Linked DNA regions of Arabidopsis thaliana. The protein of the gene in region 1 interacts with the protein of each later gene in a pairwise test. Each region holds a gene or a part of one and is shown on either strand. Other genes may lie near its edges.

The links.
Region 2: the proteins of AT2G44340 (region 1) and WRKY51 interact in a two-hybrid assay, tested with the Arabidopsis thaliana proteins (one study listed by BioGRID).

What each region holds. Positions count from the first base shown.
Region 1 is NC_003071.7:18,311,943-18,315,871, forward strand, and holds AT2G44340 (VQ motif-containing protein), read left to right. Parts: upstream 1-2,245; 5' UTR 2,246-2,336; coding exon 2,337-2,903; 3' UTR 2,904-3,380; downstream 3,381-3,929. UniProt on the Arabidopsis thaliana protein: May function as positive regulator of plant growth.
Region 2 is NC_003076.8:25,906,366-25,910,540, forward strand, and holds WRKY51 (WRKY DNA-binding protein 51), read left to right. Parts: upstream 1-1,881; 5' UTR 1,882-2,049; coding exon 2,050-2,291; intron 2,292-2,398; coding exon 2,399-2,545; intron 2,546-3,126; coding exon 3,127-3,322; 3' UTR 3,323-3,516; downstream 3,517-4,175. Other genes in the region: CLE21 (CLAVATA3/ESR-RELATED 21), read left to right, coding at 1-38. UniProt on the Arabidopsis thaliana protein: Transcription factor. Interacts specifically with the W box (5'-(T)TGAC[CT]-3'), a frequently occurring elicitor-responsive cis-acting element. Involved in defense responses.

The DNA.
Region 1 (3,929 bases):
TATAGTGGAGGAAGGCAAAATTCTTAAAGGAATAAAAAAAAAAATTCTTCATACATCACATTGGACATGTATATTGAATGAAAAAAAAAAAGAATCACTGAACTCCAGTTGACGGTTTTTTTTTTTTTTTTTAATGAACTCCACTCTCTAAATATCTAAATTGATGGATGATATGATTTCTAATTTATGGCCTTTGCATATATATATTTGTTTTAAGCAGTTCGCATATGTAGAACAAGTCTCCCAGTCCGCGTAATGGCATTTAATAATGACTACATAGATTTTTTTCCCCCAAATTTATGTTATTCACCTGATTTAAAACAAACAAACATACAGCTATTTTTTTTTTTTGGTGGAACAAACATACAGCTATTTATGTAACCATACAGCTATTTATATCGAATCTCTGAGATTTATGTAACCAAATGCGCCAATTATATCAAATAGTATGGTTTACATTTATAGATTTAAATAAGTTTGACTTCTAAATGGATTGACGTTAATATAAACAGAATAATTATCAATACTGAAAGTCTGCAACTAATATGACCTCTCCCTATGATCATAGGCTATTGTTTGCAAGAATTAATTAATCAAGGTCAAAACCACCAAATAGTGGTTTCGTACAAGAATTCACCAAAAAGAGTGATATTGTATAAGTAAAACCAAAATTATCACACTTAGGCCAAAGCAACATCGAAAGGTGGACTACATAGGCGGTAGGCTTCAAGAATTCACCAAAAAGAGTGGTGTTGTATACTTGTATAAGTACATATATTATATTCTGCTTATTTCAAATTAAATGTAATTTTGTAGAAATGATCATTATTGCAAATATGTTGTAACGACTAGAAAATAAAACACAGTTCCGTGTGTAAGTTTTCTAAGACCTCTCGATAATACTCGAATTCTAATTCGACTCTCCAATTATCTAAATATGTTTTTTTGCAATATAAATAACGACAAATTACGTAATGTCAACGGAGGTTAAATCCACCCTGTCGCTCTTGTTTGCTTCTTTGGCAAAACAAAAGTCAACTATTATTTTATTTCTTTGCAACTTTCAAATTCTTTATTGTAGGTTTGTATGTCATTTTTGTATAAAATATTTCTTTCGTACAAAATAATTACTTAAATAAAAACCAACGAGTACACATTTTTTCTTTGTTTTTAAGCACACAAAGGCATATCTATCCGTGTCGACACCTCAAACATGTGTAGATGAATGATCTCATGCATATGTAAGTGTCTAAACATAGAGATGAAAATTGATGAGATAGACATTACAAACCTATTTAAGTGGGGATAGTTTAGAAGGTAACTTTTGGTTTTATTAAAACTAAATTCAAACAAAATTAGCTTATACGAAAATTAATGATCTGCGTCAAGTGGGATCTTCATGTTTATTACCTTGGTATAGTTATATATATATATATATAAATTATAAGAAATATGACTTAAAGAGCATCATCAAACCAAAGAAAGTGAAATAAAACTTATGATTTGAATTAGGTCGGTTTTCAAGTGACCGTTTCCTGAGTCAGATTTTGACCCCACAAATCGATATAAAATTGCATGCCATTTTAGTTTCCATCTACTAATATTGTTATAAGTTATGATAAAGTAAAATTCCACACACGACGTCATTAGCCAAAACAATATAACGGGACTATCAATCATTTGATCATGTAGAGACGCCCAAACCGTAGATTCATTATTACGGCTTAGACAAAAAATGAAACTAGTAAAAGAAGTGTTTTCAAATAGAATTAGCATCATATTTAATTATTTTTCTACAGAAACTATAGGGAAGCCAAAAACAGAACAGAACAGACATGCCGACAAATTAAAACTTTCACACACACAGACACATTTGCGACCAAATTAAAGACATATATATGGCTCACGCTATCTGTTTAGATATTCTAACTATATGATGTTTGTATAATATTATAGTTTAGATTTATCGTCAGTTGATTAATCACAAATCATAAACACATTATTTTATTCCGACTGTAAATTAAAAATTAAACTAAAATGTACTAGTGTAAAATAATAGTGATACACACATAAAACTTTATTTAAATCAAGTTGTTGTTGTGTGTCATGGAGGCAGGTCCATAGCTGTTTCGTTATACACCTTCTTTGTTATTTCAATATTCAAGTTTGTTGTTAATTTAATGTTATTGACTAACCAACAATCCAATATATTTATAATTATCTATATATAAATAACCCGCCGCAGTATTATTCCACGGCATACGAATTATTTTGGTTCAAATTACAGATATCTAAAAAAGGATCAAATCTTTTCTCAATCGTTTATAGTTTCTTCAATGGAGATTACTCAATATCAAAGTTTTCATGAAGGTTCGAGTTCTAGGGTTTCCATGAACAGGAATTCACAAGTAATATCCAAGATCAAACCCAAGATTCGCATAATCCATATATTTGCACCGGAGGTCATCAAGACCGACGTCAAGAACTTTCGTTCACTCGTCCAGAGTCTAACCGGGAAACCGGCACCGGGAGAAGCCAAAACCGGTAAAAAGAGAGCCAAATCAAGAATTACGACTCCCCAAGAACCGGTTTGCGATGATCATCAGCCGGTCAACAGGCTTTCGGGTTTCACCGGTTTACTAGCAAACGGAGGAAACCACCAGGTGAAAGAAGAGTGGGGATCAGGTGATCAGAGTACTTCGAACACAAACACGTACTTTGATCTAGAAGGTTTAATTCAAGATGTCGGAGAAGATTACTTCTCTTCGTTTCCCATGAGATCCTCTTCTTCTTCACAAGTCGAAGGTTTCATCTTCAACAACAACAACAACAACAACAACAACAACAACAACAACAACAACAACAACACCAACTTCGATACAAAGGCTCATAATTCGTCTTAATTAATAACAGATTAATTTCTAGGGTTTTCAATCTTATTGATTCTGCAAATCGCATTTGGTGAGATGAGATCTAATCGCAACGATAAGGTCATATTTTGTGGGAGAAAAAAGGCATAGAAGTTGTATATAGATATAACAAATGGGTATGATGAGAGACATAAACTTTTGGCGGGACTGACTTTGCCAAGGTTGAGAGTTGTGATGAAGAGAGTTTAATCTACGTGCAGCCCTTCTAGGAGAAGTGGCTGTATCTAATTAAGATGTGGTCGGTCAAAAAAGCCCTAGTTTTATTATGTAACTTCATTGATGTGCTATTATTGGATGTGTATTAATTCTTTGGTGTGCAGATAAATGTGATGATTGCTGTACTTTAATTTTGGGGAAAAAGTTTGTATGGAATTAGAACAAGGATCGACTTGTTTTCGATATAGATACTCTGATTGATTGTGTATATTGAATATCGATACTTACATAACGGTTATTCGGTTAAAGTACAGTTACACTAATTAAATTAAACTGTAAGTTAACAAGAATATTCTGGCTCAAGCTAAATTATTTTTTTTATTATTATTGTTTACTAATCTTTTGTTACAAATGTTGAAAATGATATTTATTATACATGTAGTACTTCAACTAAAATAAATAACGTGTTTTCATATTTGATGTACGTGTATAATATATCATTTTCAACAGTGAGTAATATTAACCCTTTTATCAAAATAAAGTAAAACAAAATGATATAACCTATCAACAAAATGCAAAGAAAATTGATCCGAACCGAATATAGCCGTAACGGTACACCAAAATTGTTTTGAGATTTTAGTGTCCGTTGACCTTTTCATATAAAGCCAAATTATTCGGTCTGGTTTCCAAAAGAACGAAAAGGTATATGATTACGGTTTACTCCCTTGCTTCTGTGTTTTGGTTTAGTTTGGTTTACCTTCTCAAAGTTCTCGAACGTCAACATTTATTTTATCTTATTTTGTAAGGTTCTGCACATGTTATACTTATTAATTAGTCTACTTT
Region 2 (4,175 bases), on another chromosome or scaffold:
CTATCCCCACAGGTCCAAATCCTTTGCACAACAAGTAGAGTACTGACTACTGAGAAAGATGCAACATACTTCGACTTCGTAAATTGTTCGTTTGGTGTATATATGTATCGTTATAAGTTAGTTTACTTTTCAAGATTAATAGTCTTTAATTAGGTTGGGTTGGAAACTCTAAAATAGTATGAGATAAATTTCAATTGTTTCTAGCATTTAAATTTTGTATGCTCAAAGTTGCTGGAACGATATGGCAAACAGAAATAATGGAATCGAAAAAATATCGTGATATGTTAGAATAAACTGAGTAAAAGTACGTTTTTGTGAATTTTCTTTTGTCATTGTAATTTGTTTTAACAAAATACAGTATTATTCTTTTTTACGTACTAATAAGGTATATTGTTGTATATATAAAGGTCAGTAACTTGTAACTCATCTTTTTTTTTTGTTTTTTTTTCTGTTTTAGCTGATAGGTGGTTGGTGTTCATTAATAAATGTCCATATATCACTTTCAAAGCAATTCACTAAAATATAGATATGTAATTATTTTTTATTTTTTCAGATTTTCCCCTTGAAAAAGGGGTTCTTTCAATTAGAACCCCACACTAACACACTCCTTCACTTTTGGCCAGCCGCCCTTCTTTTTCAGTCTTTCAGTTTATATTTTAGCCTCTTTTTTAAAAAATACTATATTTTATTGCTTTTTCTTCTTCTTAATTACTTTAGTTAATCATAGTTAAAACACATTTTTTTGTGCAAACGTTTAAGTTTTAACACTATCTGATTTTAAACTTTTAATCATTTGCATGTAAAATCACTCAAATAGGTAATATTTATATGATTCCAGTCATGTGTTTCTTAAAAACAGAGCCACACTACATGTTTCTGTGTTTATTCTCAGTTAATTAGTTTTTATGTTTGTTTTAACACAATACAGAGAGAATATTATTGTAGTTACAAAAACAATTAAGAGTGGCACCAAGAAATTTCGTCTTACCTTTTAAGACAAGATTAAAAGACCACTTTGAAATTTTGAATCGTTGACTTAAGAATAGACTTAGCAAAAAAACTTGGTCATACATATATGATATATGTGTGGGTCAACGATTCATATATGTATGATGATACATTGCAATGTGCCAAAACTTCTGGAAGAACAAAAAACGACTAATAAGAAAAAATAAAATATATAAAATGTTGCCAACATTAAAAAACGCATTTGCTGTTTCCCATCAATATTGGAGTATAGTTTATATAAGATTTTTAACAATATTATAAGCTAGTTAATTAATAGAGTTAATCTTTGGTAAAAAAACAGACGGAATTTTATAACTTTCGAAATCATATTGATCTGCATATATATATATATATATATATATATATATATATGTGGATTCACCAGACCAGATGAGATAACCATTTTGAAGGATTTGCTAAATAAAAGTTAGGCCAAAAAGAAATCAATAAAGTTTGTGACAATATCTTTAATAGTATAATTTACATTTACATAATTCAATAAGTCAAATCTTATTGTGTCTTGGTGTGCACTGTAAAGTAAAGTCCTGTCTGCTTCAAACGCAGCATAAGCAAACTTACAACTTAAATCCTCAGCCGTTGATCCAAAGACCAAAATCCAATTATCAACGTTACCTAATGTAGACGATAAAATCTCTTAAAATGGGCCCGTAAAGCCCAAGCAAAAAAACAATTACTTTAAGTGGAAGCTCACTTTTCGCCACCCTTATTAACGTCTGTCCATACGTCATAACAGATGACGTCATCATCATATTCCTTTTTTCACACGTGGCATTGAAGCACCTTCCTAGTATCTACCCTGAAATTGCTTGACATAAGTAGTAGTTGTTTAATAATCTTTATCTCTTAATTATCCTCTTTTCTTAACAAAAACTTGTTACAATAATTTTCATTTTTATATAAATAACTGACCATTATAACTCTTTCTCTTCTCTTCTTCACTTGCTCTAGTTCTTGGATGCTTTAAACCTCTCTCTCTCTCTCTCTCAATTATTTTTTTTTCTATTTCAAAAACAAAAAAAAATGAATATCTCTCAAAACCCTAGCCCTAATTTTACGTACTTCTCCGATGAAAACTTTATTAATCCGTTTATGGATAACAACGATTTCTCAAATTTGATGTTCTTTGACATAGATGAAGGAGGTAACAATGGATTAATCGAGGAAGAGATCTCATCTCCGACAAGCATCGTTTCGTCGGAGACATTTACCGGGGAAAGCGGCGGATCCGGCAGCGCAACAACGTTGAGTAAAAAGGAATCAACGTGAGTTCCTTTTTAATTATTATTGTTGGCAAGATTCTTAACCAAGCAATTAGTATTTCATTATATATAGTTTTATTCATTAATCTTTTTGATAATAAATATTGTAGTAATAGAGGAAGTAAAGAGAGTGATCAGACGAAGGAGACGGGTCATCGAGTTGCATTTAGAACGAGATCGAAGATTGATGTGATGGATGATGGTTTTAAATGGAGGAAGTATGGCAAGAAATCTGTCAAAAACAACATTAACAAGAGGTAACTTATTCATTTACAAATTACTCATTTGATCTAATTAATATGTTTTACTAGTACTTGTTTTTAACATAACATATGGTTGCTTGATAATTTTCTATAACCATCTTGTAATCCTGTTGTTATAGAATATATAGCCACTAGCTAGCTAGACCATATAGTGATTTGAATACTATTTAATGGACCCGTATTATCTACCAACCCACTTGGAATAAAATTTAGCTTCTATATACATCATGCATGTGTGTTTTGTTTATACAAATATATAAAAGGTTCCTATAGCAAAATTGATTGATTAGTGGTATATGGATCAATGAATCCATGGTTGATAATCAGTCATCGTATAGATTTATTTTGACTCATATATCATAAGAGAAACAAATATAATGAATTCATCATCTAAACATATCACTTTCATTCAAAGCATGGTTTGAAAGCAATTTACACACTCTGTAATTGGTTAATGATATTCTTATATATATACATACATATATATATATATATATATATATATATAACTTGGTGCGATATATTATAAAAGTGATTACAATTTAACATGTGGTGGATGAATTTATAATATAAAGGAATTACTACAAATGCTCAAGTGAAGGTTGCTCGGTGAAGAAGAGGGTAGAGAGAGATGGTGACGATGCAGCTTATGTAATTACAACATATGAAGGAGTCCATAACCATGAGAGTCTCTCTAATGTCTATTACAATGAAATGGTTTTATCTTATGATCATGATAACTGGAACCAACACTCTCTTCTTCGATCTTAATCCAAATCTCTCATCCTCGTTGAGATTGTAAGATACCAACAATATTAATATTATAATCTCAATGCTTTGTATAATTTGATAGGTGTATAATAAAGGAGTTACTTATTTCGTGGTTATAAATGTTTAATGTATGTATATTGCTATGAGTACATTTTGTAGGTCACTGACTCACTAGATATAAAATCTTAAGCGTATATTTATTTAAAAAGTAGTGTTGAATTTTTTTGGGTCACGGTTGTCCAAAATACTGCGATCTGAATCCAATCCTTATTTGATTAGACTCAAGAATGATTTAGAAAAACCTGAATTACTTGTATTCTTATATCCATTATTAAACCGACATTTGACCCGAAATGCGTCAGACTAAGATTGTACCGGGAAGGAAATGTGAAAAAAGCAACTTGTAAAAAAAGCCTGTGTGACAGCTCTGTAACTTGTAAGCGTCAACGAGGTCAACTGTTTCGGTTTAGTTGTTACCGGTAATTTGGTTTATAATGGATTTTGATCGGTGTGATTTATGATCCGGTTTTGGTGCGTTGTGTAGATTGTCCCGAACCGATCTCATCTTCTACCTTTCAACAACTTAAGCAAGGAAACGAAGTCGTTTCATATCTGTTCTTCCGCCCAAATCTCAAACACTAGTAAGTAAATTCGAAGGGAGTCTTGGATCTCTCTGATCTCGATCCAGATTCTCTCTACTTCTCTTATCTTCGATAGAGAAATTTGTATCTTCAGATTTATTCGAGGAGGAAGACGAACCCTACTTGATTGATTTAGGAGGTGGAGAGATCTTTCTGAACAAGTTTGATTCTGTTGGTAATTGATCTGAAATCCTAGGTTTTAGCCGTAGATC